Diceros bicornis minor: one gene and its partners. The protein of the gene in region 3 interacts with the protein of the main gene of each other region in a pairwise test. Links are inferred from orthologs where the notes say so. Each region holds a gene or a part of one and is shown on either strand. Other genes may lie near its edges. The genes, in order: PRKAB2, PQBP1, LZTS2 and NCK2.

Region 1 (7,778 bases), on a different chromosome or scaffold from region 3:
CTGCTAAATAAGACTGTGTACAATATCAAGTCAAAATATTACCAAATAAAATAATGAAGGTTAAAAAAAAAAAGGGCTAGCTTCTTCATTTGGGCTTTATTTTCAAAATGGCTGAGGTAATCTACCTTCCATATTGTCTCTCAATATCCCTCAAAACTACACTATGAGACATCAGTAGCAGCATAATCCAAAGTACACGGAGAAAGAGAATTGAAGGGACTTTCACATTATGTAAGGAAGCGGCTTAAGAGAAAACCTTGACCTCCATATTCTTAAAGCAATGCAAGAGGCTTGACTGGCTCCATTAGAATTACAGAAATTTTCACATATGCCTAAGAATAACCCTCAGATTCTGATTTGGATATAGGACCTGGGAATCTATTTTTAAAAAGTTTCTCAGAAAAATAATACTGTGATTATTTTAAAATAAACAAAGAAAGAAACCTCATCTTTAGAGATATATCCTAAAATATTTATAGGTAAAATAATATTCAATGTCTGGAATTTGCTTCAAAATAATTGGTGGGGGAAGAGTAGATTGGGGTATAGATGATATAAATTCATTCACAATTTGATCATTGTTTAAACTAAAAGTTTAAAAGTTTATTACACTTTCTCTCTACTTTGAAACATGGAAAATGTTTCAAATTTTCCATGAAGTGTTTAAACAAATTTAGGTAACTTTAATGTGCAATTGAGAACCATTGAACTAGTCCACTGAAGAAGGCTGGCAGTGGAAGCAATGTAGGCTCCACTGCCACTGTTTCTATCAGTTACTTTGATGATTTAGTATTTTCAGTTTAGAAGTTGAAAGCTACAAACTATTAATATGCCTAGCTTTGGAAGGAAGCCCTTCCACATATGACATGACATTTCTGTGGTAGGCATGAGTGCAGCTGACTAGCAGAAAGATTGTTTACTCCAAGGTAAATAGTCAGCAAAATCATCAGGAAAAGAGACAAAACAATTAGAACTATAGTTTGAAAATGTTCAAATAAAACATTGAGGGAAGAAGTAAAGAAAGTAGATTGAGAACTACAAAATTTTAGATTTGGAAGAGACTTTAGGAATTATCTGAACTGATTTTCTTATTTCACAAACGGCAAGACTGAGGTAAGAGTAAGAATGATCCAAAATAGGCTCCATTTCAGATAGAGCAACTTGGCTTTTATTCAGGACACTGATTACTGCGGTCACAGTTTGACAAATACACTATACTTAAATCCTGAGTCATCAATGTAGGAAAAGGGTAAAAATACAATGAGGTCGATCACCTTGAGAAAGTTTTGAAGAAGTAAATTCAGATGGCTGGGTAGACAGCCCAAATGATGAGGAAGTAGTCCTGAAGTGGGAGAAGGAAAAAGGAATGGAGAAGAAATACCAAGAAGTGGTCCTTTCAATCACCCTTGCTTCTCTTTCTGTGATTATGTTCTCAATTGGGATCCAAGAAAACAAACAGAATCCAAAATCATGTGCTACCAACGAGGCAAATCATTCTCTATATACTTTCTAAAACCCAAGTTGGGTGCGAAGGGATGAAGTGACAAGAAACGTCAAACACACCCCAATCTCCTCAATCTCTCCACTTTTCTACTTCATCCCAGTTGGACTACCTGGAGGAATTAATTTAATGCTGACAGCTCTAAAAGTGATGAGAAACATTCAGATGGTAATCACATTGTTGTTAGCTCCATCTATCCTTTCTTTAGGGTGGATACAAGTTGCCACTTTCCTCAGTCTTTGGAATTGAGAGCAAGGTCTTCAGGGCAGCGGTGGGTTGTCAGTTTTCAGCCATGTAACATTATGAAGTACGACTGAGAAGTGGAGAAATCCTGGAATCATTTGCTCTCCCACTTGAGGAGCAGCTGAGTGTGAAAGAAGCACAAGCTCAGCCACAACTATAAAGTATGGGATGAAAACGGAGCAGTCAGCGAAATGATGTCCTTTATTGTCCCCAAGATTAGGAGAAAGTATTCAAATAAGCAAGTGGTTGCTGCTCACTGCCATGCCAAAGGGGAAGAGGATCAGAAGTGCTGAGCTCCCAGTGGAGCAAAAAGGATACTGATACGTAGAAGTTGTCAGGAAAAAGAAATTCATTTAACCACCTCAGGGCAAATCTGAGACACTGCCGCCTACGGTTAGCAACTCAGGCAACCTAACCCTCTGAAGTTTTCCACCAGGGTTATAACCTATAAATTCACCAATAGTCTAGAAGTGAGCACCTGTATTCGAAGGGGGGGGGGGGTCCACTGTCCCAATCCTAAAAATGTGGCCAACAGATTAGTCGGAAAACAAGAACTCCGCCTCTATCCTATCTTAAGGCAGCACCGCAAGAGGAATTACCATCCAACATCTCGTCTCCAAAAAATCCCTTTAATTCAAAAAACTGTAACCCAAGTCAGTGTGATAAGAAAGAACCAAGAAAGGGAGGAGGCGCCCTGACACCCAGCCCACTGCAGCATCGCCACCAACTGAAGGCGTGGGGACGCTCACCTTGGAGTCCGGCAGGCTGAAGACGCTGGGGTCGTCAGTGCTCCCCACCATAATCTTGTGCTCCTTGCCTGGAGCGTGGCCGCCGGCGCCCTCGGCGCGCGCAGCCTTGGCGCCGTGGCGCTCCCCGGCCACCCTGTCGCTGGTGGTGTTTCCCATGGCTGCAGCTCGAGTCGGAGGCCACCTGCCGTAGGGAACGACACGGAGCGGGGAACACCCCAGTGGCAGCGTCAGGGGCGCCCCCGGCCCCGCCCCTGGGGACCCAGGCAAGGGAATCCCCGCCCCAGGGCAGCGGCGCCCCGGGGTCCCCTCCCTCCCTTGGCCTCCAGGAGTGCCCGAAACCCTCGACTCCCTCGCTGCCCGCTGTTCAGGAAACCCGCTTTCGGCGACTCTCCTGCATCCCCGCGTTCCCTGCCCAGGGACGCCCCCACCCCCAATCACCTCCCGCGAGGCGTGCCCTCCTCCCCCAGCCACTGGCGCGACGCCTGCTCTACGGATAACGCCACCAATAAAGTTATTAAAGTTGAAGCCGCGCCCCAGCTAGCAAACCGTGTCTCCTCCTAAAATGGCTACAAAGCCAGTGGCGCGGGGCCGCCCGGCGCGCGTACCCTGCGGCCGCGCCGCCGCGGCGCCCGGGGCCCGCCGGCCTCTCTAGCCGCCGTCGCCTCGATGGTGGGCGGCCGCGCGCAGCCTCCAGCGTCAGGCGGGGGCGCCAGCTGCACAGTTAGCGGCGCGCCGGGCTCACCGGCACGCCTGGCGAGCCTGCTCCAGGAGCCGTTCGTGTGTTGACCACTGGGCGCTCACTGCGGATTAGATGGCCTCGGAATGACACTGGGGGCGGCCTCCCTGTGCTCGGGTGCCGGGTGCTCGGGTACCCGGAGGAGCAGCGCTGCTTTCTTCCCGGCCCCCTCCCTGGCCTCAGGTTCACCAGAACGTTTTCTGGGCAGCGTCCTTGTGATAGGCGACCGGAGAGGTGGGTTCCTATAGAGAATAAGAAAACAGACCTCCCACTGAAGGCAGAAGGAAGTAGTGGTAATTGCTCCAGGTTAAAACTAAGTGCTGGGGGTGCAGTCAGCCCTACTGGGGCCCCTGGGAAGAAGGAGTGATTAGGAGAGAAATTTTAGTCTAAGGAGAAGATGGAGAAAGCTATTTTAGGCTAAGAAACAGCATATGCAATGAGCAATCCCAAAAGAAGTACAATTCAAGAAAGAGAGCAACAACAAAAACATCAGAAGGAACACTAAAAGCGGAAAAGGGCAAAGACAGTCCTCTGGTTGGGACAGATCCAGGTTTTTACGCATAATTAATGGAACTCATGGTATTTACTAATTCTTACTTTGTAATAGGGGTAATTATATGCATGTTTCATTCCCTACTAGGTAAAGAAACAAGATCTGTTAGTCAATGCCAGTATAATTTTTCCCTTTAGACTCATTGCTGTTGCATCAACGTTCTATCTTTCCTTCCAGAGGGAAGGAAAAGAAGGAGGTAATAGGCAAAGTAAGTGGTGGAAGTTCTCTTGATGTTACCGTATCTCAGACATCATTGCCGCTGGTCTCGGATCAGCCATTCTGCCTGATAGAGGAAAATAACAGAGAGCATGGGAGGCCTCACAGAACAATAAGCTTTTATGCACACTGCTAAATGTATTCTACTTCCTCTGAGAGGTGAGGATGTGGGAATGGGGAAAGAGTATATTGGTGTTACAGAACTGGATGATAGGTTAGATTGGGCATCTGGAGGTTTACATTACCATCTCCACTCTCCAGGTTCCATCCCCATTTGTGATCAGGGATGGGTATGACATCTCATCTTGGTGATTTACATTTCAAAAAACAATCTGATCTTTTTTATAAAGTTAAACATACATTTAAAATGCAGTTTAGTAATTTCACTCCTAGGTATTTATTCACCTGAAATAAAGACAAGTTCACACAATCTGTACACAAATGTTTGTTTGTACAAAACACATGTGGCTTTATTCATATCTCCCCCAAAATGCACACAACACAAATGTCCTTCACCTGGTGCATCAATAAACAAAATATAGTATAGGCATAAATGGAATACTAAGCAATAAAAAGGATTAAACTCTTGATACACACAATAATGTGGATGAATCTCAAAGGCATTATGAGACGTGGAAAAAGCCAGACTCTATTTATATGACATTCTTGAAAAAGCAAGACTTAGGGTTAGAAAATAGATCAGTGCTTTCCAGGAGTTGAGGGTGAGAGGAAGGGTTGACTACGATGGGACAGGAGGGAATGTTGGAGGGGTTATGAAACAGTTCTATGTCTTGATTGTAGTGGTGTTATGTGTCTGTCAAAACTTACAGAACTGTGTACTAAAAAGGGTGAGTTTTATTGTATGAAAATTATACCTCAATGAAAAAATTAAAACAATTTTATAGTGTTTTAAAAATTAGCTTTAGCAAGAGGAAAGATACAAGTTTATACACAAGACACTACTCAACCATTGCAGAAACTATTTTTGAAAACAAATACCATTGATTTTATTTTTAATTTTTTCTACGTTTATTGAGGTATAATTGACAAATAAAATTATATATATTTAAAGTGTACAATGTGATGATTTAATAAACACTGTGAAATGATTACCACAATCAAGTTAATTAATACACTTGTCATTTCAAATAGTTACCTTTTTGTGTGTGGTGAAAACGCTTAAGATTTACCCTCTTAGCAAATTTCAACTATACAATACAGTATTATTAACTATAGTCACCGTGCTATACATTAGATCCTCAGAACTTATTCATCTTATAACTGAAAGTTCATACCCTTTGACTAACATCTCCCCATTTCCCCCACCTCCCAACTCTTAGCAACCATCATTCTACCCTCTGTTTCTCTGAGATCAACTTTATTTTAAATTCCATATATAAGTAATACCATACATTTGTCTTTCTCTGACTTATTTCACTTAGCATAATGCCCTCAAGATCCCTCCATCATGTCTCAAATGGCAGGATTTTATTCTTTCTCATGGCTGAATAATATTCCATTGTATCTTTATCCATTCATCTCTAGCCAGACACTTAGGTTGTTTCCATATCTTGACTATTGTGAATAATGATGCAATAAACATGGGAGTGCAGAAATCTCTTTGAGATTCTGATTTCATTTCCTTTGAATAAATACCCAGAAGTGAGATTGCTGGATCATGTGATAATTCTATTTTTAATTTTTGAGGAGCCTCCATACTTGTTGTTGGTATATTCCCACCAACAGTGTACAAGGATTCCCTTTTTTCCACATCCTCCCTAACACTTTTCTTTTTTTTTTTTTTTTTTTTTTTTTTTTTTTTTTTTTTTTTGTGTGTGTGAGGAGATCAGCCCTGAGCTAACATCCGCCAATCCTCCTCTTTTTTTTGCTGAGGAAGACGGCCCTGGGCTAACATCGGCGCCCATCTTCCTCCACTTTATATGGGACGCCGCCACAGCATGGCTTACCAAGCAGTGCGTCGGTGCGCGCCCGGGATCCGAACCAGCGAACCCCGGGCCGCCGCAGCGGAGCGCGCGCACTTAACCGCTTGCGCCACCGGGCCGGCCCCCACTTTTCTTTTTGATAATAGCCATTCTTATGGGAGTGAGGTGATATCTGTTCGTGGGGTTTTTGTTTTGTTTTGTTTTGTTTTTGTGAGGAGGACTAGCCCTGAGCTAACATCAGATGCCAATCCTCCCCTTTTTTCTTGAGGAAGATTGGCCCTGGGCTAACATCCATCCCCATCTTCCTCTACTTTATATGGGACGCCGCCACAGCATGGCTTAACAAGCTGTGCATCGGTGTGTGCCTGGGATCCAAACCTGCGAACCCTGGGCCGCCGAAGCCGAGCGCGCGCGCTTAACCACTGCGCCACCAGGCTGTCCCCTCTTTGTGGTTTTGATTTGTATTTCCCTAATAGTTAGTGATGTTGAGCATCTTTTCATGTGCCTCTTGGCCATCTATATGTCTTTGGAAAAATGTCCATTCAGATCCTCCACTCCTTTTTTTTGTAATCAAATTGCTTGATTTTTGTTATTGACTTGTGTGAGTTCTTTATACATTTTGGATATTAACTCCTTATTATATATATGATTTGCAAATATTTTCTCCCATTCAATAAGTTGCCTTTTCATTTTATTGATGGTTTCATTTACTATGCAGAAGCTTTTTAGCTTGATATAGTCTCATTTGTTTATTTTTGCTTTTGTTGCCCTTACCTTTGGAATCAAGTCCAAAAAAGCATCGTCTAGACCAGTGTCAATGAGCTTACTGCCTGTGTTTTCTCCTAGGAGATTTATGGTTTCAGGTCTTACGTTCAAGTCTTGAATACATTTCAAAGTAATTTCTGTGTATAGTATAAGATAGTGGTCCTGTTTCATTCTTTTGCATGTGGCTGTTCAGTTTTCTCAACACCATTTATTGAAGAGACTGTCCTTTACCCATGTATATTCCTGCCACTTTTGTCATAAATTAATTGATCACATATGCATGGGTTTATTTCTGGGCTCTCTTCTGTTCCATTGATCTGTTTGTCTGTTTTTATGCCAGTACCATACTGTTTTGATTACTATAGCTTTGTAATATGGTTTGAAATCAGGGAGCATGATGTCTCCAGCTTTATTCTTCTTTCTCAAGATTGCTTTGGCTATTTGGGATCTTTTGTCGTCCCATACAAATTTTAGGATTGTTTGTTCTGTTTCTGTGAAAAATGCCAATGGAGTTTTGATAGGGATTGCATTGAATCTGTAGATTGCTTTGGGTAATATAGACATTTTAACAATATTAATGCTTCCAATCCATGAGCATGGAATATCTTTCCATTTATTTGTGTCTTCTTCAATTTCTTTCATCAGTGTCTTATAGTTTTCAGTGTACAAGTCTTTTACCTCCTTGGTTAAATCTATTCCTAGGTATTTCATTCTTTTTGATGCAATAGTAAATGGGATTGTTTGCTTAATTTCTCTGATAGTTTGTTGTTAGTATATAAAAACACAACAGATTTTTGTATATTGACTTTGTATCCTGCACCTTTACTAAATTCATTTATTAGTTCTAATAGTTTTTTGGTGGAGTCTTCAGGATTTTCTGTATATAAAATCATATCATCCACAAATAGTGATAGTTTTACTTCTTCCTTTCCAATTTGGATGCCTTTTATTTCTTTTTCCTGACTAATTGCTCTGGCTAGGACTTTGTACCATACTGCTTTGATTACTATAGCTTTGTAATATAGTTTGAAATGAAGAAGTGTAATACCTCCAGCTTTGTTCTTTCTCAAGA
Region 2 (7,449 bases), on a different chromosome or scaffold from region 3:
GTCTAACTTCTCCTCAGCATCTGGGGACAGGAAAGCTTTGAAGTGACCTTCCTTCTCCCATCTCAGGATCCAGCAGCCTCTGTGTTTGACCACCTCCCTTGCCTGGGGCTGGGCCTGCCTATCGCACCTGATGCTCCTGGATTCACTATCATTTACCTGATCCCTCTCTGAGAACTACTAGAAGCCCTTGAGGCACCCTTGGATCTGCCAACTCACCTGCATTACTGCTCCTGAGCTTCTTGGCAGATTTGGTAACGACCGAGTTGGGGTCATGTGGGGAGAGCCAGGACACGAGGTCTGTGTCCACATTCCAGTAGTAAGGGAGCCCGCTGTGGGGCAGTGGGAGGGAGGGAGGGATAGAGAAGGAATGTCAGCACAGATGTTACCTCCTTGTAGCCTCAACTCTTGTCTCCCCAGTCTCCGCCTCTACCTGGCCCATGTCAGGACCCCGTGGGGAGGACCCCCAGATCTCTTAACCCGAGGTCAGGGACAGCACAGGAAGGATGAAGTCAGAAGTCAGTTCCCTCCCCCCTGGCCAGGTCCCCAGGCTCACCAGGAAGGGTCGAACACCTTGTACCAGCTTGGTGGCAGGCCCTCCAACCGGGTGGCCTCATAGTCCACAGGGTCATCGTCATAGTCCTCGGCAATGATCTCTTCCTCTGGTTCTGGCATGGCGGGGGGAGGAGGAGAGCAGTGAGGAGCAGGGGGATTCTCATCCTACAGTTAGAGCCTGGAGAGACACTAGCATTCACACAGACCACGTGTGTGTGCCAGGTCTCACCGGCCCTGGCAGATACTGCTCACATTCCAAAGCCACTTATCTGGATATCGGGATTTACCAAAAACTGTACTTAAATCTGTTCTGTTTCTGGGTTCACATAAGATATGTTACCCAAAGCTATTACCCAAAGCTATCTGGTTTCAGAGTTTAGATAGGGATTCACCAACAAATGTATCCATATTTATTCAGTTCCTGAGTTCAGGTAGTATGTGACACCACACTATCCAAATCTGTTTGGATCAAATGAGTTTGAACAGCAAGGGGTTTATCTGAAAATATGTCCAAATCTATTCAGCTCCCAAACTTGGCAAATATGGGGTTTCTGACGCCTGTATATTGAGTAGCAAGAGTTTGGATACCAAGGGATTTATCCAAACACTGCTCTGAATCTATTCAGTTCCTGACACATAGTAAGCATGCAGCAGTTGTCAGTTCATATCAGTAAAATTAAAAGGGTGTATATTGTCAGCCCAGTAGCTGACCTTCAGTAGGCCTATCACAGATTTCAGCTGCAGAAATAACTAACAATGAAATGCACAGGCATACCTCAGAGAGACTGCAGGTCTGGTTCCAGATCACCGCAAGAAAGTGAATATTGCGATAAAGTGAGTCACACGGATTTTTTGGTTTCCCACTGCTCCTAAGAGTTATGTTTACACTATACTGTAGTCTATTAAGTGTGCAATAGCATTATGTCTAAAAAACAATGTATATACCTTAATTAAAAGTACTTATTGCTAAAAAATGCTAACCATTCTTCAGCCTTCAGCGAGTCGTAATCTTTTTGCTGGTGGAGGGTCTTGTAAAAAACACAGTATCTGCGAAGCACAATAAAATGAAGTATGCCTGTATATGTCAGCAACAGCATAGTGCCTGTCACACAGTAGGCCCAAAATAGATATCAGCTATAATCATCAGTATTTTTAATAAGATATATATACTCTCAGCACAGGGCCTAGTACTCAATAGGCTTAAAATAAATATCAATGATCATTATCAGTATTATTAACCACAAGATCTATGCCTGGCACACAGTAGGCTTATAATAGATGTCACTTATCAATACGGTGAAAATAAGATGTATTTTCCAGTGCCCGGCATACTATAGCTCAAAATAGATGCCAGCTTTTACTATTATTGACAAGGTATAAATATTAGCAGCAGCAGCACAGTAGGCCTAAATGATAGATCCTATCGTTATTTTATACTGTTAACCATAATGTGTATGCCAGGCACTTAGTAGACCCAAAATACATGTCAGCTATTAATGTGAACAATAAGGTATGTATCACCAGCATAGTGCCTGACACCATGGGAGGTCTGAAATAATGTTATGAGTATGGTAAAGAACAAAGTATTAGCATCCTGCCACTGTACTTGGCGCACGCACAGGAGACTGCAAATGTCAGCTATCTTCACTATTAGATACTTTGTAACCACTTCCATAGATTGATTGATGGATTGAACCTGGCATACAGTAGGCCCAAAATAGTCATCAGCTGTCAGTATTAAGGATGAAATATCTATCTCCCCCATGCCTGGCACATGGTAGGAATGGGTGTCAGGAATCCCCATTTTTAACAGTGAAATGCCTGCCACCCCACTGCCTGGTGCACAGTAGGCCCATGCTAGTTATCAAGTGGCAGTCTCAACAACAAAGTGCCTCTCAAGCCTGGCACATGGTAGGCCCATCTGCTCTTAGCTCTCACCGGGCTCCAGATGTTTGAGGATGCCTCTCTTGGCCAAGCGGGTCTGCAGCGCAACGGGTAGCGGCATAGCGGGTAGCAGACAGACCTAGGGACAGATGGACAGACTAAAAACCAGCTCAGATGAGGACTCAAATCTGGAGCCCGTAACCAAACGCCTCCCCCGAGCATGTACTCATCTGGACCCCCACCTACCCACCTGCAACAGTAGCTGGGTGGACGGAACCTAAGCGGGAGAAGGCGGAAGAGATAGATGGCAATATCACCAAAACTCTCACCAACCCTCCCCTCCAGGCCGGGTGCTCCATGACCGGGTTCCTATCCCAGGCCCAGGCTCCACCCATAGCTGAAGGGGCCAGCACAGCTCCCCCGCGCCCCAGAAATGGGTTCACCCAACGTCCCCCAAAGACTGCCGGGTAGGAGGAACCAAAGCGCTGAGAAGGGGGAGGAGAATGCAGTACTTCCTCCCGCTCCAAAAAATGCGCCCACTCCGACGTTACCAATACAGTCACGCGGGTAGTGGAAGGCTGTCAGACCGGCCGCCTCTCTCTTGTCGCCCCTTGATCACCAGGACCCCACAACTCTCTTCTCCCAAAGCACAGAACGAGGTCCTCTCTCCCCGAGGCTTGGAGTAACTGGATGACGCTCAGGCTGCGGTGAACAGACGACGCAAGCCGGGGTGACCAATGAGAGCGCGCCCTTGGCCTGACGTATGGCCAAGCGACCCAATCGTCGCCCTGGAAGAGTTGGACAGCTCGGGCGCCTGTGTGCGTTTACAGTGGGGGCGTGGCCCGGCCGGGGTTTAGCCAGACTGCGCGGCAGGACGCCGGCGCCATGGAGGAGTACGCTCGGGAGCCTTGGTACGGCGATGGGCACAGGCATCGGGACTGTTGCTGTGGTGCCACGGCCAGCTGTGGGAGGCGGGCGGGGGAGGCACCGGCCACACAGCGCCACATCCCAGACTCGGGAGACGTTTAAAATCTGTCTCCTTTGCTCCCCTCCACTTGATTCCTCCCACTCGGGCTCCGTTAAGAGGGGCCCCAACTGTATACCTGGAAGTGAAGGACGAGCCACCCCACGTTTCCCCTGACTACGTATCTCCCAGCCCCTCTTTGTTAACGAAAAGACACGCTGGTCGAATCCATTCCAGCTGGGGGGTGGTGTGTTGAGCGGAAATCCCCAGGGTTACCACGCGTGGTTTTTCCCAGGTCGCTGTAGTTAATGGGGGCGGGGCCTGGATGAGCCTATTCTGGGCAAGGAGGGGGTGCTGGATCCTCCCCACGGTCGGCTCTCGGTTTTTCCCATTCGCGCGCGGTTAAAAAAGGGGGAAAGGGCGGGGCTTGATTGGATGGGCTCGTTGTCGGAGAAGGGGCTGTGACCCTGTACTGCTTTAATAATAATACTAGCTAGTCAACACTTCTATAGCGCTTGTTTAAACGTGCCAACTCTTTGCTTGTATCAATTCATTTAATCTTTGATAGTAGTAAAGCTGATTCCTTGGTTGACTGCGAAGGGGAGGGTAGGACTGGGCAAAGACTAATATTTTTCCCGTTTTGCACTATTTCTTGCTTAAATGAGGGGAAAAATAATCTCATTATCTGAAGTGCTACTTCCCTTTCAGGTGACTTGGTTTCTTCCAGTTAGAAAGTCCATGTGACATGGCATGGGGGAGGGCACACATTAACCCCATCTCCCCTTCCCGCTTGCAGCCCATGGCGAATTGTGGATGATTGCGGTGGAGCCTTCACTATGGGTGTCATCGGCGGCGGAGTCTTCCAGGCCATCAAGGGCTTCCGCAACGCCCCTGTCGTGAGTCCTGGCCTTCCCTGGGTGGTGCCAGGATCCTGCCCTGTCCGCTTGGGATACTGCTCTGAAAAGTGCTTGGAGCTGCCAGTCACATGCACTTATTCATTCTGGTTCCTGATCGCCTGCTATGTGCCAGGCTTGGCTCCAGGATGAGGGGTTTTGGGAGAACTGCAAACATGGCCTCTGTCCCTCACCCCGCACCCAATTGGAGCTCCTCTGTGGAAATTTTGTGCTGTCAAAATGGTCATCGCTAAATCCTAAATGTGTGTGCAAAGATTTTACCTAGAGGCAGATTCTGGGTCAGAAACCTGGATAGAGGGAAGTGACAGGAGATTAATTGGCAGAAGGAGGGCAGCCTTAAAGTTGAGAAAATGCTTTTAATTTAACATAATCAATTCTGTCTCTTTCTCTGATACCCTTCCTCCTGGGAGATCTCATCAAATGTCATGGCTTTAAATGCCATCCATTTGCCAGGGTCTCTGCAACTGATACATCTAGCCCTGTCCCTCCCCTCATCTCCTGGAACTCTCTTTCCTGGATCTTTGCCTGAGTTTCTCCCTCTCATCCTCAAGGTCTCGGCACAAATGCCCCCTCCTTAAAGAGGTCTTTCCTGACCCCTCAGCCACTACCATACCTCTTCATTCTATTTCTTCTAGGGTGCATAGTGCTGTCTGAAGCTATTGTTTATCTGTACCCTTGCCCAAGATCTGTCTCTGCCACTATGATGTGAGCTCTGAGACGGCAGGGGCCAGGTCTGCCTTATTCACTGCTGTATCCCTGTGGACAGCATGGTGCCTGGCACATAGGAGCTGAGTAATCATTGAATGAATGAATGAGAGCTTCCCAACCCAGCTCTGAGAACACCTATGGTGAGGTGCTCCCCAGTCCCCTTGTTCTTGGCCTCTTCTCCATGTCTCTACCCTTGATACCCCTAACAGGTCTCCCACCCCCTTCCCTCTGTTAAAAGCTAGAAACCTTGTCTGCCAGTCGCTTTAACCCTGCCCTGACTCCCCTCCTCCTCACTTTCTCCCAGGGAGTTCGGCACCGATTGAGAGGTAGTGTCAACGCTGTGAGGATCCGAGCCCCCCAGATTGGAGGTGAGAGGCTTGGGGAGACATAGGAGATGTGATGGCAAAGTTGGGGGTGGTTCCTCCTTTGGGTCTAGACTGCAAGTTGGGGGTCCATATTCTAGCCTCAACTCTGCCTAGGACTTCCTGGGGGAGTGATGTTTCCCAACAATTTAATATGAGTGAGTTCTGGGGTTTAAATCCAGGCCCTGGCTCTTCCTTGCTGTGTGACCTTGGGCTAGTGGCTTAACTTCACTGAACCTCATCTGGAACACGGGGATGATGATAATAACTACCTCAGTCGTTTTGTAATGTATGTAATTTACATGGTACTTACTAAGTGCCGGTTGTTCTGCTGAGCACTTTAATAATATTAACTAATTTGAAATTTCAGAAGTCAAATAGCATGCAGTGCCTAGATCAGGCCCTGGCACACAATAAGGCCTCAGTAAACATTTTAGCTATCATATTGTTAACGGGCTTTCCTAACCTCTTCCTTCTCCATGAAACCAAGATCAGAATTTCAACTCTTTGTGGTAGTTGTGAAGATCAGAGTTGCTTTGTTCAAAGCCATATAGAAGATAGACCTCTTTTGAACACTTGTAACTCGCTCTGAAGGGGAAGGGAGTGTTGATGGCGATTATAGACAGCTTGAAGAAGGAGCTCCCACAGGGACAGATGGGGACTATCCCCACCTCCTTTGCTCTCTGCCTTTGTGTCTGGGTTTTGCTCCCCATTCTTTGCCAGAGCACTCAGGCCTTGGAAGTCCCCAGACCCTGAGCCGTGGATTCTCAGGATTCCCCAGGAACACTAATTAGGCCTTGGTCCCCCTGCAGGTAGCTTCGCGGTGTGGGGGGGCCTGTTCTCCACCATCGACTGCGGCCTAGTACGGCTGCGGGGCAAGGAAGATCCCTGGAACTCCATCACCAGTGGAGCATTGACCGGGGCTGTGCTGGCTGCCCGCAGTAAGTGCCCCAGTCCCTGGCCCCAGCCCCTTCCACCCTGTTCTGCCTGCCCTCACCTCTCTCTCCCTGCCTTCTCTCTCCTCCAGGTGGCCCATTGGCCATGGTGGGCTCGGCCATGATGGGGGGCATTCTCTTGGCCCTTATCGAGGGTGTTGGCATCCTCCTCACTCGCTACACTGCCCAGCAGTTCCGCAATGGTGAGTACCTAGCGAAGCTGATCAGGGAGAGGTGGCAAATCCTCTGCCTAGCCTCCTCCACTCACCTTTACCTGGTTCTCCCCTCTCCAGCACCCCCGTTCCTGGAGGACCCCAGCCAGCTGCCCCCTAAGGAGGGTACCCCGGCCCCAGGCTACCCCAGCTATCAGCAATACCACTGAGGAAGTGACCGCCTATCACCGCCACCGTGGGAGCGCCTCCTCGGTTCCCTCCCCGATGATCTACCTCGAAGGGAGGGCTGGCTCCCAGTTTGCCCTGGGACCTTCCAGAGAGGGCCTCTACTCTGCTGCCTTGTCCCAGGGTGGGGGTGGGGCACCCCAGCTGCCCTGACGGATAGGTCCCCTTCTCTCTCAGGGCACCCCAGCCTCACACTCACATGTAACAAGCTCTCACCCCAGTCCCTCTTGTGATGCCCTGATGAGTATTTAAAGCTAGTTTTGAAATGCCTATGTATGTACTCCTTGAGCTAACCATGGGAGCCCCTCCTTAGGATAACGGGCAGAGCCCTCTTCAGGGGCTGGGAAGCCCTAGGATTTGGTATCACACATGGAGTGGGCTCTAGTATATGTTCGTGGGATGAATGAGCAGGAGGGAGGATGAATCAAGATGTGAATAGGGACATGAATAATGGTGTGTGGGGGCCAAGTGATGAATCATAAGCAGACAGAGGAACAGGCTTGGGAAAGAAGTGAGTGAACACAAGGATTGCCGCGGTAGAGGGGGTAGCTCTGCACGTTGCACTCCCAACCCCCACAAACGTGCACACCAACACCCCCCACCTCTCCCCCTGTGCCCCCATTGCCAAGGCTGACAAATCTGACCTCACAGTTAACTGTCTGAGTACCAGTCACCCCATTTGTGAAGGTAGTCCCCCTCTGTGTGGCCTCACCATGGACCTGGGATGGAAGC
Region 3 (8,159 bases):
TGGCACAGCGCACACAGCCCCCCTGAGCGGGCTGGGGGGAGCTGAGGGCTGGGTTCACCCAGGGCTCGAGAGAGGTCTGGCCAGGTCCGGGCTCCCGCAGACCTGTTTTGGGGACTGAAGAGTTGGGGCAAGTCTCCCCCTCACCAAACTCCAAGGACCAGTCAAGCGGGATCAAGTCTGGGATCACGAGCCCCCATTCCGCGACAGGAAGCCGGGAGCCCCCAACCCACCCTCCAGAGTCCACCCCCCCTCCGCTTCCATAAAGTGGGGGCAGCCGTGGAATGCCGCCTCCCCAATGGACCCCCGCCGCGCAGAAGTGGGGGGCGCCCCAGGTCGCCTCCCAGCCCCAGCCCCGGCCCCGGCCCCGGCCCCCCCTCACCTCCGCCGCGCTGCTCCATGCTCAGCCCCGGGCCGCCCCAGCGCTCCACAGGCGCGCCGCCCGGCTCCAGCCCGCGCGCGGCCACTCGGAGCAGCCAGGCCGACCCGGCCCCGCCTCCGCGGCGCCCCCCACCGGGGCCAACCCCCACCCGGCCCGAGTGGGCGGTGCAACGCGGGGGAGGGGTCCGAGGGGCGTCCCCGCCCCGGGGGGCGGACACGCGCAAGCAGCCCGCGTCACGCCTGTCCGGCGGGGCGCACGCAAGGCCTGCACGGCTGCATTCAGAGTCCGTTCCTCCGAGGCCCGGTGGTTGTGTGTCTAGGGGTCGGTCGGCTCAGGACTTGGCGGCGGCGGGTCACCCTCTACCCCTACGCGGGCCCCGGGGCCAGCGGCAGCTGATCATTGTCCGAGCACAAAGGGCCGGGCTTCGCGGCGGCCGCCCTTCCCCCTCCGCTCCTCTAGTCGAAGCCTCCCCCAAGACACAGGCTTCGGAGTCCAGAGGGGGAGGCCGAGGGTCAGCTGCCCCCCACTGTCCCCGGCTGCCCGGGCCCTGCGCCCCATCTCAGGTCAGGGGTAGAGGCTCGGGCTGTGCCTGCCCCACCCACAGCGGGTTGGAGGAGGCACACTTGGATCTGTGGAGGCGGCGCCCCCTGGCGGCCCATCCAGAGAACACACCCAGTCACCCCGCAACCTTGGGGGCCCTTATCCGACTCCTCAGCGCTGTACCCTCTCCCCCGCCAGCCCAGGCCGGCCCCAGGCGTGGCTCTGTGCTCCTAGACCTTCCCCCAGAGTCATTTGCTAAGAGAAAGGTCATTGTCCAGAGAGAGGCAGCCCTAGCCCCCAAAAATCCCTGGAGTGAGCCGGTCCAAACCTAAAGTCCAAACCTACAGCAGCCTCACAGTGGACAACATTCCACCTGTCTTCTCAGGGTTACACATATCCTCACCCTCTCGCAAACAACACAAGCTTCTTAACACCCACACGACCTTTCCCACATTCAGGCTCACACGGCCACAATCACAGTCTCATCCATCACGTGATTCCGTGTTCCTTCTTTCCAGTCTTTTAGGCTAACTCACAGAGACACACTCGGTGTCACACACCTTGTGCCCAGTCTTTCACAAGTCATAGTCCTTCCCAACCAGTCACAATCTTAAATACACTTAGTCTTCTAATCATCTTTCACACATTGAGTCTTATTCATAGTCACACAGACAACTTCTTACACATACACATACTTCACAAACATTCTACCACACAGACTTCCCCATAGGGGTCTCTGTGACCCAGTCAGGTCAGCTGATGCCTGCACCCCTGGACAAGGACAGCCTCCCGCCCCCTAACCACCCACCCCAGGGCCAAGGTCTGCCAGAGCTCCTCTGCCCCAGGAAGAAGCATCCCCCCCTTCCAGGCCACAGCCTTGGCCAGCTCTCAGCTCTATTTTTAGCTCTATGGAAAGGGTTGTTTTTCTTTCTTTTTCCCTGGAAAGGGAAACACAGCCCAGCCACCCTCAGGCTCACCCCGAGACAGACTGAAAGCAGACTGAGACCCTTTCCCAAGTAGAGACCCCCTTCTCTGGCCTTGCCCTGATCCCAGCCTCTTGGGGCACCAGGAGCCTCCTCCTCTTTCTGGCAGCCTGCCCAGAAGCTCAGGCAGCAGCTGGGCTCAGCGTGTGTGTAGGGGTGGGGGTGGGGTGGGGAGGGAGGCCGAGGACCGCTGCCCACTCCCTCATTCGCTGGGGGGGAGGGGGGTTCGCCCTCCCTTCTACCGGAGGGAGATAGGCCCACTCTGGTACTGAGGGGATGTTTACACACATGCATTCTCTGGGGACGGGGGACTCCCACTCTTGCACGAGTGGGCTTTCCGCTCCTGCACTGGGGGGAGGAGCTCCTAGTTCTGCAAGGAGGAGTGGTAGTAGGAAGGGGACCCACAGGCGCTCAGGCAGCTGCTCCCCAGGCTGGAGGCATGTGGCGGGGGCTGTTGCACACTGCCATCAAGAATAGCGCCCCCCTCCGATACCTTCAGGGAGGAAGGCACCGAGAACGTATTGGGGAGAAGGCAGGCGAGGAGCCCAGGTAACCCCATCCCAGCACAATTTTCCGTCCTTCTGCGCTACCCCAACTCCAGGGGGCGTTGTGCTCCCACTTCTGGGGGAGGCGGAGAAAGGAATACTGCCCGGCATGGAACCTTGCAAAGTTGCCCTGGACTCGGGGGGGGGGGGGGGGGGCGGTGCACAGCCCACTTGTCTGCGAATCGATCACGTGCTCGGCGCTTGTTTATGTCTTAGTCTTCACCTGCGGGCAGCTGGGAAGCAGAAACCTCCGGAGATGTCTCACCCTGCCCGCCCCCGTCGGCGGTCACCGGGGCGGCCCTTTTCTCCCACCCCCGTCAAGTACGCGACAGCAGAGCGCCCTGTCTGCTGGGGGTCCGCGCGCGCCAGTGGCGCTGCTCCAGGGACTGCAAGGATAACCCACTGGGCGCGTTCTTCCCGAAGTGCACGTGTGTTCGTTTTTCCCAAGTGCACGCGTGGGTCTGCGTACACGCGTGTGTGGGCCCGTCAGTGCGAGTTTCTGTGTCGGTTCCCTGTTCAGACTCCTCGCCTGCGCCCCCCAGAGTGAGGACCCCCTCCTCACCCCAACCCCCAGTCTCCCCAGACCGGGAAAGTTCGCTCCGGAGCGGGGATGTGCGAGAGGCGGGAGATCCTGCACCTCCGCGGCCCCACTACTCACCCAGCGCCACCTGCGCCGCGGCTCCAGCTCCTGCCCGGGTCCTGCTCCAGCGCAGGCGACTCTTCGCCGCGGATCCGCCGGCTCTCAAGCCCGCTCCGGGCTCCGGACTCCGGGCGCCCGTCTGGCCGGGCCTGGTGGAGCGGGGCGGGGCGGCTGAGGCCGCGCCCCCGACCCAGGGAGGGGAGTGGTCTGCTCACCACCCCCTCAACAGCCGACCCTGTACCCAGCCCGGCAGTAGTTCGATGGTGACCTGAGGCTGCCCCTCTGGCCTCTGACTTCACAGTTTACTGGATTTGACTTTCGACCTGGGGAAGGGGCGAGCAGCACGTGACCGAGAGCTAAGTTACCTGACTGCCCTAACCAAGCCGGCTATAAGACTTTACTGCCACCACTTTACTACTGCCAAACCTGGTCCACTTTAAGCCCACTCACTAGACACAGGGAAAAACCCTGGGAAGCAGACAAAGAAGGCTCGGGTTTCACCAAAACAGACCCCCCCCCAATCTCTGGTTGGGGCTGCCCAGGTAGAACCAGCGGCTCCCCCACCCCTGGAGTAGGTGTCTGCCCAGGTGAGCAGGCCTGCCAGGTCTGGCCCCCCACAGAGCATGGCCAGGTTTCCTTTAGACTCATAAAGTTCCACCCACAGGCACAAACAGGAAGTTGGCCTGTATTGCAGGGAGGCACCTAGGGCTCCCTCCCTTCATGGCACCCAAGGCGGCCTGTCAGAAGGCACAGACTGGGACGTCTGCAAGTATCAGGGCCAGATTTCCAGCCTGAGTACTTGGGCAGCGGAAGACCGGTGAGTTTAGTCCTTTCTCAAACCCATCCTAACTAAAGAAGCTGCTGGAAGACTACAGCTGCCCCCTCACAGCCAAGTGTGACACTGAATCTGAGGAGAAGGCTGCAGATCCAGCTGGACCCCACTCAGCCAGGCCCTTCCTGAGCTCTCAGGGAGATTCTTAATATCCATAGGCAGGTAATTTGCCTCAATCCACTTTGACTGGGTACAGGAATAGTGGCTCCTAGGGACCTCACACAGGACCCAGGGATCCCTCACTGCTTTCTAGGCTCCAGGGACTCCTAATATACTTTGGGCTAATCTTGATGTGAGTTTAAGACAGGTGTGGAATGGAATGTGTTTGTGTAGGGGGTGGGGCTGGGGGAGCATTAGCTTCCCCTCCCCCCCATCATTCTGGTTTGTGCTGTGTGGGGGTGTCTGCTAGGAGGGTGGGGCAAAACAAACAGGCAAGTGTGTATCTATCCCTCTATCCCCAATTCATACACAGACCTCACAAAGGTCCCCTAATGGAAACCCCTAAAGGATTTCCTGAGAACACACCAGGTATTCTCGGTAGACCAGAATGTGGAGCCCATGTCCTCATAGGTAGGACTGACCTGGTGGTATGCATGTGGAAGATATGGCTGACATTCAATGTTGTAGACCCTGGATGAGGCCTGGACCAGCCAGCGGCTGGGAATGATTACTGAGGGATTAGGAGGCCTGGCTCCAGCCAGTCTGGGAGAGACCCCCAAGGAGGAGGCCCTGGAGGAGCTACACCCTCCCTCCCCCCAGGTTCTTCCTCAGAGAACAGCTTTGCTCCAGGCTCTGTTTCAGGAAACAATTGTAGCCACAGTTCTCAGACACAACAGAGACCCATGTCCTTCTACAGGGTCCCAGAAAACCCCTCTTAGGTTAACAGAGAGACCTGGATAAGGCAGACCCTGCTTGCAGGGAGCAGGAAAGCACGCCCCTCCCCTTACAAAAGTTTTCTTCCGGGCCCCCTCAGAACATCTTGCATTCTCACCACTCTTCCAGGCCAACCTGAAGGGAAACTGGGACTTTAGGATATCAGAGGAAGTGAGGTGGCAAAGTGTTATCATTTAGGAATATTTCTGACAGGGTCTCTGGATAATTTATTTTACAGTCTCCTTCACAGCTTGTTAAAAATGAGGAATCCTGTACCTCTTCAAACCTCCAGAATCAGAAAAGTCTGTGTGTCAGGGTTGGCGGAAAAGTAGGGCCTAGGTTCTGCATTTTTAACAAGAGCCCCAGGCGTTCTGACGGGCACTTAACAAAAGAGAAACACTGAGAGGGCATGAGGAGGGAAATAGATGCCAAGCCCAAGTCCACATTTTGAGAGGTCAGTGAGTGGCTCATATAAAAGAGGGACAGCTGGTCAGGCAGGGCCTAGGCATGTGGTCCAGTGACCCACACCTCTGCCAGGGATCACATGGAGATCCTCAGGGAAGATACGGATAAAGAGATACCACCCTGTCTTCCGTAGGCCAAGAAGAGGTGTAAGGGGATGTGTCTGTGAAGGCCCTTTAACGCCCCTGCTTCTTTGGGAGTACACAGCTCAAAGACTGGAGGTGGGACTGGGGACCCATCCACTCCCAATTCAAAGTGAGAGGAAAATCCAGTCATAGACTGGGGAGACACCTGGTGGACAAATAAGAAAAAGCACAGAAACAAAGGCAATGGAAAAAGAGTTTTTTGTAAAACTGGAAAAGTCTTTACAAAAAGTCATGACTTCATTTACTCTAGTGGTCTGAGGCAGCATACCATGGAATCAGTGTCCAGGTGGCAGGCACTCTGGGCTCAAAGCTTCCTTCCATGGCTCTCCCACCTTTGGGGCCCAAATATTACAGGGCCGAGCACCTAGAATCCAATGGTAGTGAGTACCACCTCATGGCAGGCCCCAAAGTGGGGAGCAGAGGAGCTTGGTACCCACCATGTCACCCTTTGGCTCTGCAAGTCTAGGCTGGAGTTTTGGCAAGAAGTCTCCTATTCCCCTCCAGGTCCAGGGGGCCTGACCCCACTGCTTTGAACTCAACATGTTCATTCCCACCTCAGGGCTTCTGTATTTACTTTGCCCTCTGCCTGTATTTACTTTACCCTCTGCCTGGATCCCTCTTTCTCTAGATGTTCACATGGCTCAATCCTCGTTCTTTAGGCCCCCGCTCAATGTCCTCTGCTCAGAGACACCTTTTCAGACCTTAATCTAAACTAGCCCTGTAAGAACTATCACATTACTATTTTATTTTCTTTATAGCATTTTCACTATCTAAAATTATGTTGTGTGTCTTTGTTCACTGCTTGTCCCCCACCAGACTGCAGGTTCCGTGGAAGCAGGGACCTCACTCTCTTGTCAGTGCTGTACTCCCAGGACCTAGAACAAAACCTGGCACACAGTAGGTTCTCAAATATCTGCTAAATTGAATTCTCTCCCTATGAAACCCTGCCCTAGGCTAGGCCCCTCAGACTAAGAAGGGCCCTAGCTCAGGACCACAGGACAGAGGCAGCCCAAGCAGAGGGCCAAGAGTCTAGGCCCTAGCCTATCCTGTCAGGCTCATGTCAGTGTCCAGCTCTGCACTGCCTTCACCTTGAAGGCTTGGAGGGGTCTGGTTGGGAGGGGATGGGGGCCCGGCCAGTCTCAGAGCTCTGGGGCACAGCCCCCTTTTTGCCAGAAGAGGGCTTTTTGGCCCCCAGCTCATTGTCGTCCTTGATCTTCTTGAGCCGGGCCTTGCTCTTTGGTGGCATGGAGAAGGTGAGAGAGCTCTTGTTGAATTCAAGGGGGAAGACACCTATGTCGCCATCAAAGCGGTTCTTGGACACTTGCAGATACCGTTTCCCTGGCCCGGTTACCAGCTTCCTGTCCTGCAGAATCAGAACATTGTCTGCTTCCTGGCTTGCCTGAGGACAGGGGGAAGAGGAGGAAGGAGCAGTGAGAAGACGCAAGAGAGAAGCAAAACGGAAGGCTGAGGGTGCAGGGAGGAGCAGCACGAATGGGGGAAGGGAGAAATATGCCCCCTCCCCCATCACCAACGCTCTTTGAATACTGACCACAACGCAGGGCCCACCTGAGTCTTTCAGTTCCTTGACCATCTTGCTGCTGTCCCAGATTTTGTGTACACGCTGTTCTCTCTACTTGTAACACTTCTCCTCCACAGCTTGCCACCCCACTCAAACCCAGCTTCTTATCATTCAGGTCTCAGTCTAAATGTCACACTTCATCAGAGAGACCATTCTTGAAAGAAGGCACCACCATCTTTCCCTTTCTGTGTTATTCTCTTCATGTTTGTTTCATTGTGGGACATAGTTTGTATATAGTTTGTGGCCAGCCTAGGCCTGGCATGTAATAGGCACTCAGTGTACCACTGGAAGCTCCAGGATCAGGCTGGTCCTGCTATCCAGAAGGTCCTCCCATTTATTTGGTTAACACCTACTATCTGCCAAAACTCAACCCAACCTTTGTTGACACCTCCTCTAGGAAGTCCCCTGGATGTCCCAGGCTGACTCAGATATCTTTTCTCTTTGCTCCCCAAATACCTGTGATGCCTGTCATAGCTCTTATAATACTGAGTTGTAATTACTGTCTCATTGTTTCCCCACTAGAGGATGTGAGCTCCTAGGAGGCAAGGAGGGCAAAGGACCAACTATTATCAGCCTTTGTATTCCTAGCCCTTGTATTCCTCATGTCATGGCCCCAGAGGCAGCTGCCTCCTGCTTTTTCCAGAAGGAGAGTCAGAATGATTTAAGGCTGAATGAGGGCTGTCCCCACTCACACTTGCCCCCTCTAGTCTCCAAAGCTTGGGCTCCTCTCAAGGCCACTTACTTTGGCTGAGCCAAAAATGGATGCTGTCTGCAGTTCCTTATCGTCATCCTCCTTCCGGGGATGAATGACTAGTGTCACATGGCAGCTATTGTCTGTTGCAAACTTCCGAAAGGCCCCAACGATGTAGTCTTGAGCTGCAATCCTGTCCTCACCCCAACAAAGCAAAGAGGTTACTGGACACACACAGAAAGACAAGAACATACACATACTCTTGATTCATTCAAATCTCCCCACAAACCACAACCCACTCTACTTCCCTCTACCCAAGGACTCACTCTTAGATCCTTGTCCATACCTCCCGCCGCCACACCCCACACCTCTATAAAGACAAAAATACACATGGGGTGGTGTGTGCTTGCAAACACATCAGAAAATAAGAGAGTACAGCATGTGTGCCTAGAGGCCAGCTGCCTGAGAAGACATGTGTGTTCGAGTGGG
Region 4 (7,911 bases), on a different chromosome or scaffold from region 3:
TGTTTATCCCTCACAAACCAGTTTACCCAACTTTTCTGATATCGGCACCAACATCTTTGCAGCAACCCACATCCAAACTCTAAGTAATGCAGACTTCTAACTGTGCTTCCTACCTCCAGGCGTTTGTGGGACATGCGCCAAATGAGGTACCCTGCCGCCAAGCCCGGATGATGTCCACACGTAACTACTATCTCCAGGTCTTATCTCCTCAGGATCCTCTGCAGGCATCCTCTGCTGCATTCAGGCAAATGAGGGCATTCCCTGTTCCTATGGAGTTCTCCCACATTCCCCCTCTCTGTCGTCACGGTTCTAAGCATCCTGTACTGGGAATTTCCTCTCTGTCTTCAACTTTCAAAATCCTATAGTTTGCATCATTCAGAGGTTTTGGTTGCAAGAAAGGGCCTCTGGCTACCTTAAGCAGAATAGGAATTTTTCAAAGAATAATAAGTAGCTCACAGCGGGGCTAGAGGAGCTAGGAGAAGGGGCGAGAACCAAGCAGGTTAATGACCTCTATGGGGAAGTTCTGGGATTCTTCCAGCAAAAGCTCACTGAATCTCATCCTCCCTCCTTTTGGCCACCCTCTCCAGGTTCAAAGTCCCGGGTGGGAGGGTTCTATTGGCCAGTCCCAGGCTGTTCACTCTCACAGGGCTTCTGGGAGTGGAGAGAGGGAGGAGCCTACTCTGCCTCCCACCAAGGTCAGACAGGGGCCTTCCTAAAACCAGTAAGGGGGCTGGATGTAGGGCAGCCAAATTATAGTAGCTTTCCAGGTGTCATCTCTCCAGGTCCATTCCTAATGCCTCCAGCTTTCATAAAACCTACAGCCTCTTCTGATTCTCAGAACATATTTCACTTGGTACTTTGCATATTTAGCTTTATATTATGGTATTTGCATACTGGTCTTGCCCTTCCTGTGAGATTAAAAACTCCACTTACCCTTGTTTCTTCTGAATTGACTCTTATAATGCATTACAAATAGAAATATACTAGAAATGTTTAACTGTACTGACGGTTAAGATAGAAGGTCATGGAAAAGCTGATGTGAGTATTTACCATGTGCCAAACCCATAGTTGAGAGATGTTTACATGATCTCATTTAACTTTCACAACTCTTTATGAGAGCACTATTACTACCCGAGGCCCGGAGAGGTTAGATGATCCCAAGTCACAGGCTTGCAGGCAGGCTGTGGGCCTCTGAAGCTGGACTCAGACAGCGCCCTCAACCTTAGCTTGTGTTCTCTGTGACTCCAAGGAGAGGGTTAGAGGAAGGCTTGCATGGAACTCTGAAGAGGAGGGGGATGAGAAATCCCTTGCTGTGTCCCCAGTATAGGAGGTGGAGATTAGTGTGACTAAGTGGGACACAGTGGGGAAAGCAGAGGGACTGAAGCAAGTAGCTTATATTAGGGCAGGGTAAACAACAAGATTGTTAGGGCAGGACTAAGTTCCAGGGACTTTAGAAGGGAAATCTTAGGATTTAATGCCGATGTGATTTGGGGGCAAAAGTTTATACGTTTTGCACTTTCAATACTTCATTACTGAAGAAATTTCAATAGTAAAACAAACATAGATATACTAATGGAGTAGAATGCAGAAACCTCTACATTTTTAGATAAACCATCAGCTTCAAGGAAATGTCTCGCCCATGCTGGGTCTTGTAGTGGGTTGAACGGTAGCCCCAAAGGACATGTTCACCTGGAACCTGTGAATGTCACCGAATTTAGAAAAAAGGTCTTTGTGGAAGTTATAAGGTAAGGATCTCAAGATGAGATCATCCTGGGTTAGGGTGGGCTCTAAATCCAATGATAAATGCCCCTATGAGAGAGAAGGGGAGAGGAACACAGGGGATCTGGCGTGTGAAGACAGAGGCAGAGATTGGAGTAATGTTTCCACAAGCCAAGGGACACCTGGAGCCACCAGAAGCTGGAAGAGGCAAAGGATTCTCCTCTAGAGCCTTCTGAGAGAGCATGGTCCTGCTGACAACGTGATTTCAGACTCGCCTCCAGAGCTCTGAGAGAGTAAACTTCTCTGTTTCAAGCCACCCAGTTTGAAGTAATTTATTAAGGCCGCCCCAGGAAGCGAACATAGGCATCTTAGAGCTCAATTCTTCAGCCCTCCTAGGAGCAAAGGCTCAAGTCCTTTGCTGTCAGAGGACTTTTGAGGAACTGTGGTGAGCCGTGGGGAGCCATGGGAAGTTCTTGAAGAGGGGAGGGGCAAGATAGAAGCAATTTTTCTGAGAGTTAGGAAGACACTGATGTTCAGTATGAATCTGGGGGTGGGAGGAAGTGAGTAACGGGAGGCCACTTGGAAGGCAACGGGTGCAGTGGAAAGAATGGGAGTTTTGGAGGTGAGTGTGTGCAGTTCTCACCCAGCTCTTTCACTTACTAGTTTAGTTTTTTTATCTGTAAAATGAGGATAATACCATCATGTGTGAGTTACAGATGATATATGTAAAGAATTCAAAAAAGGTACACAAGTATTATTAGTAATAAGGTAAAATTTGGATGGTGACATTGGAAATGGAAATGAAGGTACCATCAAGAGATGTTTCAGAATCACCAGGACTCAGAATCATGAGGATGTATGAGATCATAAGAGGGATCCCAAGGTCACCTAGGGTCCTCTCCTGTCTTTGGGGAAAGCTTGGAGAGAGGAAGGGAAGAAATCAAATTGCAATGATTTTTTCTTTCAGAGCTGAGATGCCTGGTAGACTCTTGGCCAAGCCTAAGACCGTGGGAGGAGGAGCTGGTTTAGGAAGCAGGCAAGTTTCATTCTGAATCTGGTGGTATTGAAGAGAGGCTGAGCTGCTCAGAGGGATGGCAGATAAGCTGGGGAGCTCCCTAAGGCTACAGATCTGGGAGTTAATCACTGAATATCCAGACTGGAAGCATACAAAAAATGATCAACTCTCTTAAAAAAAAAAAAAGGTGCACATCAGGATAAAAACAAAGGGCCAAAGTCTTTGGGATATTACTGTTAGATGCTGGGAGAACAACATGGCCTACAAGGAACAGCCATGGGCAGGTCAGAAAGGTAGCTGTTAGATAAATGAAAAGATGACCACATTTCAGGAAACAGCAGAAACGTTATTAAGATAAAGGTTGAGAAACGGACATTGGGTTTCAGATAGAGAACGTCCTTGGTGACCTTACAAAGAATCAGAGACGGAAGAGGGGTTCCAGAACCATGATTCAATGAAAGTTTACAAAGCAGACAAGTTAAAAATCAGGTCAATGTTGTTATACTTATTTTGAGTAAAGTAATTTAAAATTGGACCAGACCATTTACTATAATTCTGCTTTTCTTATTAGTAAGACAAAATCTTCACGAAAGGATGAACTGAGGTAGCTTCTTTCCCAAGTCAAAGAGAAGGAGGCTGTTCTGATTCCCTGTTTTTTGACCCATCCCTGCTCAGTGCCCTGCACCTCCTTCCAGCTAGTGACCTTCCAGCTAGTGTGCCAGGGACTTACAGCAGAGTGAGGTAAATACTCTCTCTCCATTGGCTAGATTTTAGAGAGGTTAAGAAACACCCGTGCAAGGTTCCACAGTTGAAGAAGCAGATAGTCCACACCCTCAACTATGACTTCAAAATTATACTGGCTCTAGTTACCCTCCTTCAATACTTCCTTTCGGGAACAAGGCAGGGGTGAGCCATTCAAACGACACGGCCTTGTCACCTTGGATAAACTGTTATTGCCTTAATAATAATGAGAAGCCGGGAGCCTAAGAAAGAATCTCATTAACATGGATCCAGGCTATTCCGCCAGGAAATCAGAATCATTTGGATAGCAGGCTTCCCTTTCCGGAAGGCCATATGGGAAGGAAGTTGGAGAAGAGACATCTGGATGCATGGGCCTGTGAAAAGGAAACTGTGTCTTTCCCCTTACAATTGGGTTTTAATCTTCCAAGTTTGTTCACAGGTAAGCCACCACGTGTGGCGAGGTGACCAGACCAGTCCCACTACTAGTGACCACTCCTTCTGGGGCCACGTTCCCGCAGCTCCTTACAGGACTGTGCCCCTGTGGGTGAGCCTGAGCTGGACACGACGCAGGGGAGGCAGCTGAGGTTGGGTTCCTCTCGTCTTAAGAAGTGCTTCCAACAGGAAAGATGGAGTAAGAGTGTCTGGTTGGGAAAGTAAATAGATACAAGGCAAATAAATAAAAATGCTCACAAGCAATTACAGAGAGGAAGTGACATTTTTATGTAAGTCACTTTTCTGATGGACAACAGGCCTGCTTTGCTCAGAGTGCCGTGGGAATGCTTCCGGGAGGGGGGCGGTCGCCAAACAACTAGAGCGCCGTGATAAGAAAATCAAACAAAAAGAGGATGGACAGATCACCCACCAGTCCTTTCAGGGTGGAAGTTGCTGTCTTTATTTCGTCTCTTGTCCCCTCACCCCTCCCCGACGCCTACTCCCCGTGCGAGCAGTTTTGGGAGCGGAGACCCGTTCCTCCCCCTGGCGCCCGGGTCTCCCCGGGGCCGGGCGGCCGCGCGCCCCCCAGGCAGGGCATGCGGAGCCCGGTCCCCTCCGGGCGCCGTTCCCGAGCCCGGCCGCCGCGCGGGCCCGGGAGCTGCCTGCACGCCCCCCGGGGGGTCTCGGGCCCCCGCCGGCGCACGGGCCTGGGCCGGCCCCTGGGCGGTGTCACGGCGGCCGGGGAGGAGCGGCGGGAGGAGGAGGAAGAGCGCGGAGGGGCGGGCGCTGCGCGCCGGGGGAGGGGTCGCCGCCGCCGCCGCGGAGATCGTCAGGCCGGAGCCGCGCGGCCGAGCGGGCGGCGGGCGGCGGGGAGGACTCGGCGGCGGGGAGGCTCGGGCGCCCGGGCCGGCGGGGTCCGCCCGGCCGGCAGCGTCCGCCACGCGGCGGGAGGAGGGAGCGGCGCAAACAAAGAGCGGCGCCTGGGCGGGCGCGGTGCGGCCGCCGCCCCGGGACCCGCGCCGCTGCCCTCCGGCCTCGGCGGGCGGCCCTCGGCGAGGTAAGCGCGGCCGGCCGGCCCGGGGCGGGGGCCGCCAACTTGGGCCGCTCGGCAGAGTTGGAGCGCGGCGGGGCTCGCGGGGCGGGGCGCGCCCGGGAGGAGGCTGCGGGAGCGGGTCCCTCGCGCCCCCCTGGTGCCCTCGGCCCCGCCGCGGCCTGGCCCCCGTGGCGGCGGACTGCCCGCGCCTCCCGGCTCCGCACCTTCCCGCCGCCCTCCCAGCCCCCACCCTCCGGGGTCGGCGCTGGCGCCGCCAAGGCAGCGGCCTGGGCGCGGGGTTCCGGGACCAGAGACCCCGGGGCGCGCGGGGAGCGCCCGGCCTGCGGGCCGGCCGCGGGCGCGGAGCCGGGGGCCGGCGTGGGGCCGTGCGGTGGCCGAGGTCGCCTGGGCGAGAGTCCCCGGGAGGAATGGCCGGGGATCGCCCGGCCCCAGCGCAGGGACGCGGGAGGCCGAGCGCAGCCCGGAGAACTTACTGTGTTTATTGGACTGTTTATGACCCCGCACAAAGCTGCTGTCACATCGCATAAAGGAGGTCCTCGCCTCGGCGAAGGGCGCTTTGTGCCGGGTTTCAGGCTCTGCGTCCTGTCCCAGATTTACAGGACTCTCTTACAGCCACCCGAAAGAAAGTTTCTCACAATCGCTCTGCCCTCTTGGTTTATTCAGAGTGATTTAACTACCAAGTGGTTCTGGAAGAATTTGGTGTGTGACTTTTAAGGTATTGACGGTAACTCCCTTGTGAGCGCAGTTATCGGGGCATCGTGTGGAGGGGTTTAATTTGCAAAGCGCTTTCATTTGTAAACAGTAACGATCGCCTTGGAAGGTCCACGCGGGATGCTGGGGGTCATTGGCTGACGAACACCAGGCACCTGACTTTGGCCCTGTAACAGCTTCAGGGACAAAGCAGGAACGTGTGTGTAGTCGGCCTCTGTCACTTCGGACAATTCAGGTTGGCAATTTCTCCTTTATGTGGCTTTGTTTATTTTGCCGACAGGTTTAGGGCTGAATCTGCAAAGTTTGCGTCTGCATAATGGGATGAGTAGGCCCAAGGGCTGGGCCTGGGGAGCCTAAAACATCGCGCATGCCTACTCCTTCGATTGACTCCCCCCAAAAAGACTGAACCCCGAGAGGCCCGTGGGCATGGCTTCCCGCGGACCCACAGGTGTGGGAGCTCCTTCCTGGTCTAGGCCCAGTCCGGCTTTTCGGAAGGAAGGGATTTTGGTAGGAATGAGAGTAATTTGGGGTGTGTTTCATACCACTGCATTTGATATCCTTAGCAACAGTGCTTTTCAAGTGTTAAAGTGACTGAAAATGAAATTAACCTGGGCTGCTTTAATTTATCAAAACATCTAAACTTTGCTACTGAACACTCCCTTAGTTCACTTACCCAGTGTTGGTAGATAAACGGGTATATTAGTAACAGGACTAGAGCATGTGTGGCGTTTATATAGAGAGAATGGTGGTCAGTGGGCAGCTGGAGAAGTGGGCTTCACCGGGAGAGTGGGCTGTAGATGAAGGTTTTTAGGTATTTGGAACAGGGCTTTCCTGAGAAACCAGTGTTAATCATGCTTGTGAAGAAGTGACCACCAGGGAAAATCCTCTCTTAGTGTTTCTCTCCTGGAGGTTGGTTAGATGTACTTTTGATTGAACAAAGTGGCTGGATCTTAGCGATCTTCTGGCTGCAGCTCCTTGAGGCTGAAATTGAGAGCTGTAAGCAGTGGTAAGCTTGTGGAGGTGCCCAGCCCAACTCAGCTTCCTCTCCTGGAGGCCTCACCTGGGCCGCGAGCTTCTCAGCTGCTACATAAACACTAACAGGATTGATCCTGGAACGCAGGATGACATTGAGTCACAAATTGCCACTGGAGAATTGACTGCTCCCTCACCCCCTCTGCCCACTTGTGGAGAAACTGGCCCTTTTAAAATGGGCGGGGCTTGTTTAAGATGCATTTCAAGTAGCTGTACTCAGTTTTCCAGGCTTTGTGTTTTGCTTTATTACATGCTATATACTTAAATTCTCTTCATCCCTGATCTGTTTGACCCTGTCATATTCCCAGCTTCTGTCATTTGCATTGGGGGATTATTGAAGTTTTCCAAGAAACAGTAGGTCTTAAGTACACAGTGTTTGGAAACGCGCTATCATCCATATTAAATACACCGGAAATCTTCCTTGTATGTGCACAAACTGGATAACCTTTCGAAATACCCTAAAGACTCCCTGATTGCCCGGAGTGACCTGGAGTCCTTTACTTGATCACTTGCGTTAGCTTCATTTGCCCTGGCCATGAGGCTGTGTTGCTCTCTGGGACACACATGCTTCAGTGTGCACTGGGGGAGAGGGGGCTCGTGGACACGGTCCTCCAGCATTAAAGATGAGGCTGATTGACTGAAGAGCTGAAGATTGCTTGCTGGAACTGCAGGGCAGGGCGGTGGATGATGTTTGGGAAAACTAGTAAGCTAACTTTTTTCACAAATGAACTGGAAACTCCCCACAACTCATCCAAGAGGCTTAGGAAATTAGTTTTCCCATCTAGAGGGATTGCAAGTGGTGCTTCCAAATTGTTTCTCTTTCTTAGGATGAATGATTGAAACCTTTCATGGCATTTCAAAGGGCCTAAGCTAAAAATCATATCATGTATGTTGTTAAATGCTTGAAAAGCAGCTTAGAAGAAGGTCAAGACAGCCTTTTAATGGGTTATCAAAAGTATGCAGCTAAAGTAAAAATAGTTTTTTATTTCTTTAGGCCATTTAGTAACACAGTTTAAAAAATTAGACTATTTTTTTCTTTTCCTGCATTTCACTTTGAATGGATCCCAAAGTATGTATATTTCTGAAGGTATAATCAACATCAGCAAGTTATACCCTCCCCCCGGCACATACACAGGCATTTGTCACAGTCTGCCCTGTGGTTTCTTTGTGTCCATACCCTATACACATGGATGGCCAGCGCACACTG

The links.
Region 1: the proteins of LZTS2 (region 3) and PRKAB2 interact in binary tests that used the Homo sapiens proteins (3 or more experiments, as listed by UniProt). The link is inferred for Diceros bicornis minor from reciprocal best matches to the Homo sapiens genes LZTS2 and PRKAB2.
Region 2: the proteins of LZTS2 (region 3) and PQBP1 interact in binary tests that used the Homo sapiens proteins (3 or more experiments, as listed by UniProt). The two-hybrid records come from large-scale screens. The link is inferred for Diceros bicornis minor from reciprocal best matches to the Homo sapiens genes LZTS2 and PQBP1.
Region 4: the proteins of LZTS2 (region 3) and NCK2 interact in binary tests that used the Homo sapiens proteins (3 or more experiments, as listed by UniProt). The two-hybrid records come from large-scale screens. The link is inferred for Diceros bicornis minor from reciprocal best matches to the Homo sapiens genes LZTS2 and NCK2.

Annotation. Positions count from the first base shown.
Region 1 is NC_080743.1:52,464,932-52,472,709, forward strand, and holds the start of PRKAB2 (5'-AMP-activated protein kinase subunit beta-2), read right to left. Parts: upstream 3,075-7,778; 5' UTR 2,932-3,074; intron 2,766-2,931; exon of another isoform or gene 2,675-2,765; 5' UTR 2,650-2,674; coding exon 2,494-2,649; intron 1-2,493. UniProt on the Homo sapiens protein: Non-catalytic subunit of AMP-activated protein kinase (AMPK), an energy sensor protein kinase that plays a key role in regulating cellular energy metabolism.
Region 2 is NC_080781.1:42,157,025-42,164,473, reverse strand, and holds the start of PQBP1 (polyglutamine-binding protein 1), read right to left. Parts: upstream 3,131-7,449; 5' UTR 2,988-3,130; intron 2,714-2,987; exon of another isoform or gene 2,687-2,713; intron 2,576-2,686; 5' UTR 2,558-2,575; coding exon 2,491-2,557; intron 666-2,490; coding exon 554-665; intron 330-553; coding exon 217-329; intron 21-216; coding exon 1-20. Other genes in the region: TIMM17B (mitochondrial import inner membrane translocase subunit Tim17-B), read left to right, coding at 3,322-3,347, 4,197-4,296, 5,327-5,390, 6,197-6,325, 6,412-6,522, 6,613-6,701. UniProt on the Homo sapiens protein: Intrinsically disordered protein that acts as a scaffold, and which is involved in different processes, such as pre-mRNA splicing, transcription regulation, innate immunity and neuron development.
Region 3 is NC_080745.1:66,190,045-66,198,203, reverse strand, and holds the start of LZTS2 (leucine zipper putative tumor suppressor 2), read right to left. Parts: upstream 3,256-8,159; 5' UTR 3,106-3,255; intron 1,672-3,105; exon of another isoform or gene 380-1,671; intron 1-379. Other genes in the region: TWNK (twinkle mtDNA helicase), read right to left, coding at 6,485-6,799, 7,722-7,863. UniProt on the Homo sapiens protein: Negative regulator of katanin-mediated microtubule severing and release from the centrosome. Required for central spindle formation and the completion of cytokinesis.
Region 4 is NC_080779.1:7,989,311-7,997,221, reverse strand, and holds the start of NCK2 (cytoplasmic protein NCK2), read left to right. Parts: upstream 1-4,782; 5' UTR 4,783-4,964; intron 4,965-7,911. UniProt on the Homo sapiens protein: Adapter protein which associates with tyrosine-phosphorylated growth factor receptors or their cellular substrates. Maintains low levels of EIF2S1 phosphorylation by promoting its dephosphorylation by PP1.